Linked DNA regions of Caenorhabditis elegans. The protein of the gene in region 1 purifies or fractionates together with the protein of each later gene. This does not show direct contact. Each region holds a gene or a part of one and is shown in the gene's direction. Other genes may lie near its edges.

Region 1 (7,936 bases):
GCTGTGCTATATTTGAACAGCATTATTTTGAGTAAAATCCATCACAGATGTTCAAATATTTTTTCGTCAATCGTTTTGATGTCAACTTTATGTTCCTGTCACGAACCGTCTCTATTTCTCTATCTTGCAATCCGCCCGAAGAAAACATGATCCGAAATGAAGGCTTGTTGATAATGTTGTGACATGGAACACGATTATCTCAAATCTATGGGAAAATGTGATACTTTCGAAGGAAAAAGAACAGTTTCAATTTGAAAGAACGGGGGAGCATTGGAACAAAGTAAAAAGCAAACATTGTTGGATGACATTAGAAGAAAAAGAAGAACCTATTTCAGTTACAAATAGTAGTCTGTGTGTCCGGTGTGTGCTGCTGGATAAACAAAAAAGTCACAAAACTGTGCAAAAAGTATGAATCATCCATAACTTGGAGCCAACCAAAAAACTTCTAAATGAAAAAAGTACAGATAAAGAGGACGAGCAGTATCTTGTGATTTTTGTCTGTTCTGTTTGAAGGTTTCGTTTGTGTCGCTGAGTAGTTTACAGGGAACAAGAAACTAAAAAATTATTTCGAATCGGGAATTATAAAACGATGAAAATTGTTCCAAAACTTTTAAAAGACGAGATAGTTATTCAGATAAAGGCCTGAAAAGATAAAAACTAAAACAAAAAAGTCAAGAAGGGAATGTTCTGAAACTCTGTCACAAGAGAATTAGTCATAGCTCATGGTGGGTTTTGATGAGCTGGTTTTCATAATTTTCGTACCATACTTCTCCGTTTGAATAATTAATTTGTTTGTGTTTTTTCGAAAATGCAATTGACCTCTCTGTTCTTGATATGAACTTCAATTCCCATTATTTTTCAGTAAATTTTCTTCAAAGAAATTGGATATCAGGATGAACATTCTAATAATGAGCACGAAAAACTGCTTTGTTTCAATGAATGGGACATTCTCATGTATTCAAATAGAATATGAGCTGAAGTTTGGAAATATTTGAGTTCAATGTTAATTGTAACTGGTTTTGTCCAATTTCTATTTTACTGATGAAACCCCAATAGCAAGAAGTACAATTGTTTAAACCTGGAAAAAGGGCCCTCGGGGTATTCCTAGATGTTACTATGGAACCAAAAAATTAGGTCTCACTTTACAGTTTAGCACATTTTTGGGAGATCAAATCAAGTGACGCAATCTGACTCGCATATTTATTGATCTATGCCCCGGGGGTTTTCCTAACCGTTTTTTAACGGAACCTTCCTCTTGGGAAGTGACCGAGTGTCCTATTCCATGCGTTCAAACAGTTGTCATGTAAACAAATCACATCATCTTTTTGGCGGCGGTTTATAAAAACGGTTTGCATGAGGCTCTCATTCATTTTGTTTTTATTTTTCAATTTATCTTCTGGTCAGCAAAATTCAAATCTGTGAGCTAAGTTCTTCTCTGATTAGTCACTGTGAATTGCATTTGAAAAACAGTTTTTATGCTTATGTTTTGTATTCTCGAAATAAACAAATAATTTCGAAACTTTAGTGTTAACATTGTTATCCGTAAATCATGCCGTGTAAAATTCCACGTTGCAAAATGTTTCCACATTTTACTTACTAACTCTGAAATTATACAAATATTTCTCATGCTTTTTTTTTATTAGTTTAAAAAATCTTTGAAGTGTTCGTTTGCGTGTTTCTCAAAAAAACTTTCATTTGATCTCTGTTTAAGTGGGATAAAATACCGATGGTAGGTACTTGTAACAAGCACAAGCCGGCCGACACTTGACAGTTTGTTGGCAGTTTCTCAGCTCGCCTACACAAATCGTTTGCTCGTTTTAACGTGTTCTTTTTTATCCATAAACTCGATCGTTTTCGCAGATTTTATAACTATGTTATTTCAGCAATACTGTGCTTATGCCCTCTCGGACGCCTCTTTCCAAGATTGAATGGCAAAGCCTGTTGCCTCTTCCACCAGGTTAGTATATTTTGTGAATCTGACGAAATCCGTAGGTATGTTTATAACAACCATCTATTCAAATGAATAGTAATTTAAATTAAATTATGATACGCGTGAAAAAACAATGTGAAATAGCGAATAGTTCCCGTGAATGTCTTATCAAAGTTTATTTTGAACTTGATTTCGTTAATCGTCATATTTCGACACAGACACAGTCTCACCCCCCCCCCCCCCCCCCACATTTTAACCATCATCTATCTCGTCGATGCGATACAAATTGAAATTTTCAATTTATGTCGGTTAGTAAAAAACTTGTTCAAATCACTCTCACTCAACGAATATACAGTATAATTTCAGAAAAATCCGAGAAGGACGCGACTATAGAGAACAATGAAGAACTGGAAAAGATTCGGATGCCTGCGGGCAAAGAATACGATCTACAGCCGGGTTCGGTGAGTGTACACATAGATTGATCAAACTATCAATGATTTTCAAAAAAAAAAGAAGAACATTTTTTTATTCGATGAGTAGGTCATTCTGAACAAAGAAGTAAACTTTCGTAATCATTTTTTTCGAACTATTTTCTCATTTACTTTGAAAATTTTTGTCATTAAGTTTCTCATCGTATAGTCTCCTTCAATGCTATAGGAACCCTTTGATTTTCATGATATTCAAATCCTGACAAACTTTTTAAAGAAAAAGTTATATTTCAAGTACAATTTGTTTCGTTTTATAATAATTTCAAACAATTAACGTGTTGATTTTCACAAATTTTCACAAAAAATTATTTTCTAGCATTTGTTGATCGGTTTTCAGTGTATTCAAATTGTGAGCTTGTATCTGAGCTCTTGATTTTTCTCAGCCTCAAAAAAAATCAGAGGATGAAGCTGACATTTTATGTACTATGAGTAACACAAACGGTTTGTTCAACAAACAATTTTATTCGAACTACATCACATTTTGGCGTTTTTTTGCACCTAACAACGTTGCAACGAGTAAACGTTCGTCGTTTGCAAACAGTTGTTTTCCCGAAAAACAACGTTTGTGATTGTATCAGTGCACACTACTTATCTATGAGCTAACCGTGGAGCTTCAGCGTCCAAAAATGTGCAAAATTATTTTTTCGTCTATACTTCAATTGTTTAAAATATCACAAAACGGAACGGAAAATAATTTGAATACCCGAAAAAAACTTATCTGATGTTGACTTTTTTAATAGGACTCAAAAAATGTTTGACATGAATGCAAGAATACATTTATTTTTTAATAAAGCTTCACAGGTTTTAGAAATAGTTGAAATTGAGGGGGATCCTATAGTAGTGACGTGTAGTATTCTTTGAAGCAGACAATTCATACCCACTTCTTCCCTAGTAGTATTAGTCATCCTGTTCAGTTTTTAAAAATCAGAAAATTTTCGTTTTTTTTGTCTAGTTTTCTCGTCACATCTGTGTTTCTTTTCGCCCTTTTCGCACTGACCGTTCATTTTCATAATCCTCTACGCCGGTTTCAGAATTACCGGTAAAGAGCAAAAATGACGTTGTTCGTGCCATTCTTTCTCTATCCAAACTGGTTTTTGGAGAGAGGCAGATTCAGAAATAAGCATGTCCTATGCCGTCTGTTTTTTGGTAAAATCAAGAGCAAATAATTTGAATAATTCACCAAATGTTCCACTGGAAAGCTTTCCATTCGTTTTTCAGTCGAAGCGTCCCTGAAAAGCACCGATGACCCCGTCGAACCTATTCAATGTTTGCTTTTCAAAATTCTAAAAGTGATAATAAATTCTTGTCACTTGTCATGAAACGAAAGCATGTGTTGCGAACTGGTCTTTTCACACTTTACATTTTTGAACCTTTTACCGTTTTTGATGGTCTCCAAATATTTGTTCGTTTCCAGCCGACCTTATCAATCATAGATGTAACCCCAAACCTTTTTCTTCGGAATAGATGTTTCCACGTTTTCTTCTACAAACGAACTATTATTAGATGTCTTAAATCAATTTTAGTTGTATTTATTCTATTTTATTACTTTAAGCACCCTCATTACATATTGCAAAAAACCCTCCTCTCTCTCTTGAAGTTTATCGGTTTTGTTGTTGTTTTTAAACGAGGCGGAATCATTTTTCAATCGGATCAACTAGAGAACGAACGGTTCATGTGACGTAACAATATGTGTGCTCCCGAAAAGAATTCAGATTTAAAGAAATTCGAACTTGTAGAACGATTCATTTTTCTGTGTGTAGACAAGAGCAAACCTCAATCGGACTCCTCCCACTATTCTTTAAGCGCCTTCCTAACACCCTTAAATTTAGCGATTAAAATGAAAAGTCTGCTAAATGTCTAAACGTCATCAAGTGCTACAGTAATTGTTTCTCATTTTTTGAATCATCTGACTTGCTTCTTCAATCACAAAAAAACGGTATTCAATCAATCATTGTGATCATCAAATCGTTCGTTCGAATCACTTTCGACTTTTAAAATTTATTTGATTATCCATGTCTATTGTAGACATTTTCTTATAAACATACAATTTCAAGTCAAATTCTCATTTTCAGCATCTCGGTGTCTACAAAACAGTTCGTGGTCTACCAATTGACGAGGATTCCAAAAGTATGGGTATTGGTACAAAAATATTATCAAAAATTGAAAAGGTGAGTACGTAGCAAATTTTGATGTTATTTTTTGAATAGCAACACCAGTTAATGGGAGGAGAGGTAATGAAAAAATAAAAGACAAACATAAACCCCCGGAGTGGGAACTGTTATCAGATGATGGAGAAGGTGGGCTTATAGCATCTGATTATTGATTTCTACTGCTAATCCACTATGTTTCGATTCAATATTTTAGATGAAAATGGGGTATGTTTAACCATTTTTTGAAATCAAATTACCAAAAAAGAACGAATTAGTCAACGTCATATGTCAAATGTTATGTATCTTCAAAGTACGTTCATAATTTCCTTTCTTTTTTCAGAACAAAACATCTGATGGCCTTACGATACCGCTCACCCCGACTACACAAAAACAATCATCAAGTTGGTGTTCTTTTGGTAAGACAATGATCTTGAATTCTTGTATTTTTATAATTGAACTCTGCATTTCAGAAAGTATCAAAACATTTTTTCGGACGGTGATCCGTGATTGGATCTTTCTGGCACTACTTGGATTCATCATGGCATCTCTATCATTTGGAATGGATTATGCTATTCTGAACTTACAGAATGGTTCGTTTAATTTTTTGAATTTTGGACAGCTAGACTGGAAATGTTATCTCAGTTTTTCAAACGTCATTTCTTGATAAGAAAACTAATCATCGGTCAAGAAACGGAAAACCACTCAGAACTAGGAACATTGGACCTGATATATTGCTCTTGACAGAAATTGGCAGAAAATAGAAAAACGTTTTTTTTTCAGGTCAGATGCGGTTATTCGATTTGGTCAAGGAGTATCACTTCACTTTGGCATATCTCGTTTGGGTTGGATATGTCGTTGGACTCATTCTCCTCTCTGCAGTATGTGCACATTATATTGCTCCACAGGCGATTGGATCAGGAATTCCAGAAATGAAAACTATTTTACGAGGAGTTATTCTCAAAGAATATCTTTCAGTACGAACACTTCTTTCCAAAATGATTGGACTTACATTATCACTTGGAAGTGGATTACCAATGGGAAAAGAAGTTTGTTTTTAAAATATTAAACTATTACTTTTATACACACTTCCAATCTTGCAGGGACCGTTCGTTCATGTTGCATCCGTAGTAGCTTCTCAACTAACTCGTTTGGTTCACGGATCATCTGGTGGAATATTTGAAAATGAGTCTAGAAGTGGTGAAATGCTTGCAGCTGGATGTGCTGTTGGAGTTGCTTGTACATTTTCTGCTCCGATAGGAGGCGTGTTGTTCTCAATTGAAGTCACATCTGTCTACTTTGCTGTCCGAAACTACTGGCGTGGTTTCTTTGCTGCCACGTGTTCGGCTACTCTTTTCCGAATTCTAAGAATGTTCTCTGTATCTGCAGCAGTTACCGTCGAGGCCCATTATCAAACAAACTTTCCGCCACAAAATGTGTTTCTCCCACAAGAGCTTCCTATTTTTGCACTTATCGGGTGAGTAAGTATGTTCTTTTTGTTTTCAAAATTTACATATTACAGATTGGTTTGTGGTCTTGCTGGTTCAATATTTGTATATCTTCATCGACGGACTGTTCTTTTTTTGAGAAGAAATTGGCTTGCCAAAATGATATTTCAGAAATACTGGCTCATCTATCCCATCTTCATCGCCACTTTCATATCTTCTTTGTCGTTTCCATTGGGACTCGGGAAATTTATGGGTGGAGAGGTAACAAACTTATTCATCTAGATAGTTATTTGGCAAAGATATTTCAGGAAAGATTCAGTCACACAATGAAGGAATTTTTCGTAGATTGTGCATGGACTGCTCCACCAAATGATTCATATGCTTGTCCAATGCCTACATCAAATGCAACAAGTTCGGATAGTTTTGACATTCGTCACTGGAAAGGAGATAACTATGATTATTCTCCATTTGTCACTTTATCTTCATTTCAAGTAGTATACGTATGTTTTCTGAGGACCTAATTTTGAATTGAAATAATTGTTTTTATTTTCAGTTTTTCCTCGCAATTCTGGCTTCTACTCTGCCTGTTCCGTCCGGTATTTTCATGCCAGTTTTTGTTCTTGGTGCTGCTTTTGGAAGGCTTGTTGGTGAAGGTGTATTCTCATTAGATCCATATGGTCATATCAGTGGAGATATACAATTCTTCGTTCGTCCAGGTGTTTATGCAGTTGTCGGTGCTGCAGCATTTTGTGGAGCTGTCACACATACAGTATCTGTTGCTGTTATTGTTTTTGAGCTTACTGGACAGCTATGTCATCTTCTACCCGTGATGGTGAGTTCTCCCAATTTTTACTTTAATCATTTTATTATTTTATTTCAGATCGCTGTTCTTATTGCCAATGCTGTGGCTTCGTACCTTCAACCATCAATCTACGACAGCATAATTCGTATCAAAAATCTACCGTATCTCCCTGATATTCCCCATACAACGTCCCTTTATCATCAAATGCTCATTGAGCAGTTTATGATTTCTCCTCTTGTCTATATTGCAAAAGATTCAACAGTTGGTGACATCAAAAGAGCACTGGAAACAAAAACCCGGATCAGAGCTTTTCCTTTGGTTGAAAATATGGGTTAGTCACTTAGAATGTTTATATCCCATTATCATCAATACATCTTCAGAATCACTAGCTCTTGTCGGTTCGGTCAGTAGAAGTCAGCTGCAACGATACGTCGATTCTCAAATTGGAACAAAAGCCCGATTTGCAGAAGCAACTCGTAGAATCAAACAACGTTTGGAAGATGAAGAAAGCGAACGAAAAAGAAGAGAAGAAAGTAAATCAGATGATACAGAAGATAGTTTGGAAACGACAGGTGCTGGAGAGAGAAGAGCTAGTCGGTATGAAAACTTCTAAGTTTCAGTTAAAATCATGATTATTTTTCAGATTTTTGATTGTCCCTGTTGCTAAAAACGGACCTCAAGTAGCGAAAAATGAAACGCTGACTGGATTGAGCGAGGAAAATGCGCGGAAGATTCTAACTGTTGAGGAGAAGCAAGCGCTATTTGATGCTGCATCATTGGCAACTCCGAAACGAGAAATGAGTGGAAAAACAATCAATCCTGTGCATATTGAATCTCATCATACAATTGGAGGTTAGATTTCTTTTTTTACATTGTGTTAAAAATAACTTTTATTGTACTTTTCAGACATTTTCCGATCAATTACACATCTTAGTTTTGGGCGACAAAACTTTCCGAAGAAGAACAATCATAACGAGTTTGATTTATTTGGAGAAGAGGTTTTCATTTATAAAGTTTATCTTGAGTTTTATTCAAAATATCAAAATAATTCACCTGTGATGATTTAAACATTGCAGAATCAAAAAAGCATTAACGATGATCCAGATTTTATAGAAAATGTG
Region 2 (4,763 bases), on another chromosome or scaffold:
TGTACCGGCTGAAAATATCTTTGATTTTTTTATGATTTTTTTCCTGCTCCTGAAAATTTGAAATTTGGAGCTTTTTTCCATGTAAAATTTCGCTGGAAATTACTGGTAGAAATTCCCCCTAAAAATGAAGAAAATCGATCGAAAGTCTTCAAAATGAAGTATTTTTACAAAAAAAAAAAACAGCGAAAAGCTGGATTTTTTTTGGTAAATAAACTATTTAGAAAATCCAGTTTTCGGACTAAAAAGACTCTTGTAAAAATACGATTTTCCCCAATTTGAAGGTTTTTTTGAAATGAAATTCTAGAGAGAAATTGGCTGAAAATGAACTTTTAGCGCGCAAAAATTTCAATTGAAACTTAAGATATCCGTAATTTTTACTATTTGGAGCAAAAATCCAGAAAAACACCGTCGTGTAATTATTAAAATCTCAAAAATAATTTTTAAGCTATAAAATCTCAATTTCCCGAGCTAAAAGCAACACGTTTTTTAGCTCAAAAATTGGATGATTTCAAGCCTGAAAAATCTTTAAATATTGTTCGGCCTTAAACCAAAATGTTCAACGGAGCTGAAAATTTTGTTTAGCGAAAAAAACATTTACGTATATATAACTTGGAAATTTCTTTGGAAATTGAATTTTTAAGCTCAAAAATCCAGATTTTTGAGTCATATTTGAGTGAAAACTTCCTTTTTTTTTCCTCTTCAACTGACACTGCAACTTTTTCCTCACGAGGGACGAGGAAAAGTGGTTTCTAGGCCATGGCCGAGGGGCCGACAAGTTTCAGCGGCCATTTATCTTGCTTTGTTTTCCGCCTGTTTTCTTTCGTTTTTCATCGATTTTTTCGTTTTTTCTTAATAAAACTGATAAATAAATATTTTTGCAGATGCTAAAACAATTTCCAAGTAAAAAAATTATGTATTCAGTGGGCAAGCAGCGGTGAAAGTGGTCAATGTAAAATGATGGATTACGGGAATACAAAACCTAAACTTTTTCTGAAACATGATACATATGCTGCTTAAATGCTGAGACTACCTGATTTTCATAACGAGTCTGCTGAAAAAGTTTTGAGGTTTCCAAAATTCAACTTTTTTGGTGAAAAAGTCGAGATTTTCGCACAAAAAGTTGAATTTTGAAAACCTCAAAACTTTTTCAGCGGTCTCGTTATGAAAATCAGGTAATTTCAGCATCTAAGCATCATATGTATCATGTTTCAGAAAAAGTTTAGGTTTTGTATTCCCGTAATCCATCATATTACATTGCCCTCTTTCACCGCTGCTTGCCCACTGAATACATAATTTTTTCACTTGGAAATTGTTTTAGCATCTGCAAAAATATTTATTTATCAGTTTTATTAAGAAAAAACGAAAAAAATCGATGAAAAACGAAAGAAAACAGGCGGAAAACAAAGCAAGATAAATGGCCGACTTGTCGGCCCCTCGGCCATGGCCTAGAAACCACTTTTCCTCGTCCCTCGTGAGGAAAAAGTTGCAGTGAACTATCGGACCCAAAATTAGACTGTGATTACAAAAAGTTAGTTTCCAGCCGTTTTTTTTTTTTTTTTTCAAATCTACTATATCCTTAATGATATTACTGATTAATGATATCAATTAATTTATTAATATTGTATTAAAAAATTTCAGAGTCTCATACGTGTGTTGTCCTGTGTACATCATCATCATCATCAACAATATAAATTAATATATAATAAATCAAAAATATAAAAAATGAGCTCTTCGAATCTGGCAGGAAACACGAATACTACAACTACATCATCAGCAGCTTCTGCAGCAGCTGCTCATTCAGCTGCAAATGCTTCAACAATAACATCAGAATACTCGACAACACAGACAACAACTGGAACATTTAACACTGATACATTATCGAGCATCGGATCAACGTCGACACTTCATGGTGCTTTTTTGGATTTTTTTTGCGGTCGAAAAATGTGAAAAATGGCAATTTCTAGCTTGAAATCTAATAATTTTTCCGAAGAAAAAGTAGAAATTTCAATAAAAATTGGGGTTTCCCGATTATTTTTGCAGGTCCAGTAAAATTTAATTTTTATTTAAATTTAAAAAATCGAAAATAATTTTTTTAAGTTAAAAATGAATTTTTAAAGTAAAAATTACATCTTTCTCCTTCTAAAGTTGGTATTTTGTGAGGAAAATAATTAATTTTTACAATAAAATTGAAATTTTCCGGTACAAAATGTATTTTTTGCTTTGAAAAATTGGTTTTTTGGGTATAAATAAATTTTTTTTGTAGGAAATTGAATTTTTCAACGGAATTGAAGTTTTGTAGTGAAAAATCAATTTTTCTCCTTAAAAAATTACATTTTTGAGAAAAAAAAACGAATTTTTACGATCAAATTTAATTTTTCTAATAAAAAATTCGATTTTTTTTTGCTCTAAAATGTACAATTTCTTCATGGAAATATAATTTTTTGGCGGAAAAATTCGATTTTCACTCTAAAAATTTAATTTAGCTGAAAAATTTGATTTTTCACATAAAAAAAACCAATTTTCACTTGGAAAACCCTAATATTTTCAATTAAAATCAATTAAATTTATAAAATCTACATTTCCGATTTTTGTGAAAAAAAAACAAATTTTTTTAATCGGAAAAATTGATTTTTCAAGAAGAAAAAAAGAGTTTTTCCTGTGAAAAGTCGAATTTTTCAACGAAATCTGTTTAAAAATGTCATTTTTGAGTACAAAATTCAATTTTTACTCTAAAATTTTCAATTTTTGTCGAGGAAATATGATTTTTTAGGCAGATAAACTCTATTTCTTCATTTGAAATTTATTTTTACTCCAAAAATGTTTTAATTTAGTTTAAAAATTCGATTTTTATACATTTTTTTTTGTTTAAAAAAAAAACGTTTTTCCCGGTAAAAATTACCTTTTTAAATGTGTAAAAAGTCGAATTTTTCAACGAAATTTAATTTTTGAGCTGAAAAAAAATCGAATTTTCTGCTTAAAAATTACATTTTTAAGTACATACAACATTGAATGTTCCATGTAAAAATTTTCAATTTTTACCTTAAAAACCAAAATGGTTTTTTGAAAAAACCAAAAAAAAAATTACAAAAAAGGTGAGAAAATTCAAAAATCGCGCAATTTTTAGGCCCAAAAAATGAATTTCACCCCTAATTTTTTTGTTGTTGCAGGATCACAACCATCCCAACCACCACCACCACCACCACCTCAAGTATCATCACCGATTGCGGCAGCTGCAGCAGCATCAGCTGCACTTGTTGCACAGCTTAATCCGGCCGATCGATGGCCAACAGAACCGTCGGCTTATAAGTTGGATGAGTCGATTGGAGTTGGAGCAACTGCTACCGTTTTTACTGTATGCTGCTTCTTTTTTGACTGAAAATTACAATTTCTATGTCAAAAAAAGCCGAATTTTTAGACAAAAATTCGGGTAAAAAAACGCAAAAAAAAATCCACTTTTTGTACTGAAAATCTCCGGAAAAGTGGCGAAATGGCGAAAATTACAATTTCTAACCGTCAAAAAAAATTTTTTTTTCTAAAAAAATTAAAATTTCCCGCCAAAAAATTTGAATTTCCCGCCGAAAAATTTTTTTTTCTCAGAAAATTTGAATCTCCCGCCGAAAATTTTTTTTTTCTCAGAAAATTTAAATTTCTCGCCAAAAATTTTTTTTTCTCAGAAAATTTAAATTTCCCGCCAAAAAAATTTTTTTTTCTCAGAAAATTTAAATTTCCCGTCAAAAAATTTTTTTTTCTCTCAAAAAATTTGAATTTCCCGCCAAAAAATTGTTTTTTCTCAGAAAATTTAAATTTCCCCCGAAAAAAAATTTTCGACGGGTCTCACCACGAAGTGAGCCGTGATTTTCCTCTCAAAAATGAGCAAAATAACGAAAAATCCATCAAAAATTGAATTTTTGCGTAAAAATTCCACATTTTTCAACTGGACACCTTCAGAAAAACGAATTTGAATCTGAAAAATTCAATTTTTCAGCCAAAATTTTAATTTGTCTTTGGAAAAACCCGGAAAAATCGCTAGAAAACCCCAAATTTCGGCGGGAAATTTAAATTTTTCCGAAAAATCTCGTTTTTTTCAAGAGAAAAGTGGTGAAAATGTTGATTTTCACCTAATTTTACTTTAAGGTGGTGAGTATCGAGACTTTTGTTTTATTAATGTTTTATTAAAATTGGTCCAAAACTACCGAATTTTGTAATGAGACGTTCTGAAAATTTCTCAAAAAAAAAGTTATGGCGGTTCGGCCGAATAAAGCTCATTTTTAGCTAAAATCAAAATTTTTTCCAACTTCTCAGTGCCACAATACCTGGAACCTAATTTTTATTTATTCATCACTTTTTAATAAATATTGTGGTTTTTGAGTGGGCGTTTATTCGTTGATTTAAGTACATATGTCAGTGGGGCACAAATAAAAGTTAAATTTTGTACCCCAAAGACCATAAATGTACCTAAATCAACGAATAAACGCCCACTCAAAAACCACAATATTTATTAAAAAGTGATAATTAAATAAGAATTAGGTTCCAGGCATTGTGACACTGAGAAGTTGGAAAAAATATTGATTTTAGCTGAATATGGGCTTTATTTTGCCAAACTTTGAACCGCCATAACTTTTTTTTGAGAAATTTTCAGAATGTCTCATTACAAAATTCGGAGATCTGGACCAAATTTGGGTCTAAAAAAGCAAAAGTCTCAAATTTCGGTCGGCTCTACCTTTAAAATTCCCACAATTTTTTTGCAGGCCTACTGCCTTCCA

What was found. Proteins that work in one complex are often made in the same cells at the same time.
Region 2: the proteins of clh-3 (region 1) and gck-3 purify together in Caenorhabditis elegans (affinity purification with western blotting, with the first as the bait; one study listed by BioGRID). This does not show direct contact.

What each region holds. Positions count from the first base shown.
Region 1 is NC_003280.10:7,219,609-7,227,544, reverse strand, and holds the start of clh-3 (Chloride channel protein), read left to right. Parts: upstream 1-1,896; coding exon 1,897-1,957; intron 1,958-2,204; coding exon of another isoform or gene 2,205-2,238; intron 2,239-2,296; coding exon 2,297-2,391; intron 2,392-4,490; coding exon 4,491-4,586; intron 4,587-4,908; coding exon 4,909-4,984; intron 4,985-5,038; coding exon 5,039-5,158; intron 5,159-5,348; coding exon 5,349-5,614; intron 5,615-5,668; coding exon 5,669-6,042; intron 6,043-6,087; coding exon 6,088-6,274; intron 6,275-6,312; coding exon 6,313-6,513; intron 6,514-6,566; coding exon 6,567-6,845; intron 6,846-6,893; coding exon 6,894-7,146; intron 7,147-7,195; coding exon 7,196-7,412; exon of another isoform or gene 7,413-7,419; intron 7,420-7,458; coding exon 7,459-7,667; intron 7,668-7,721; coding exon 7,722-7,813; intron 7,814-7,891; coding exon 7,892-7,933; intron 7,934-7,936.
Region 2 is NC_003283.11:17,963,723-17,968,485, reverse strand, and holds the start of gck-3 (Germinal center kinase 3), read left to right. Parts: upstream 1-1,722; coding exon 1,723-1,909; intron 1,910-3,167; coding exon 3,168-3,352; intron 3,353-4,748; coding exon 4,749-4,763. UniProt on the Caenorhabditis elegans protein: Plays a role in osmotic stress responses by regulating ion homeostasis and by controlling cell volume via the phosphorylation-mediated inhibition of the chloride channel clh-3.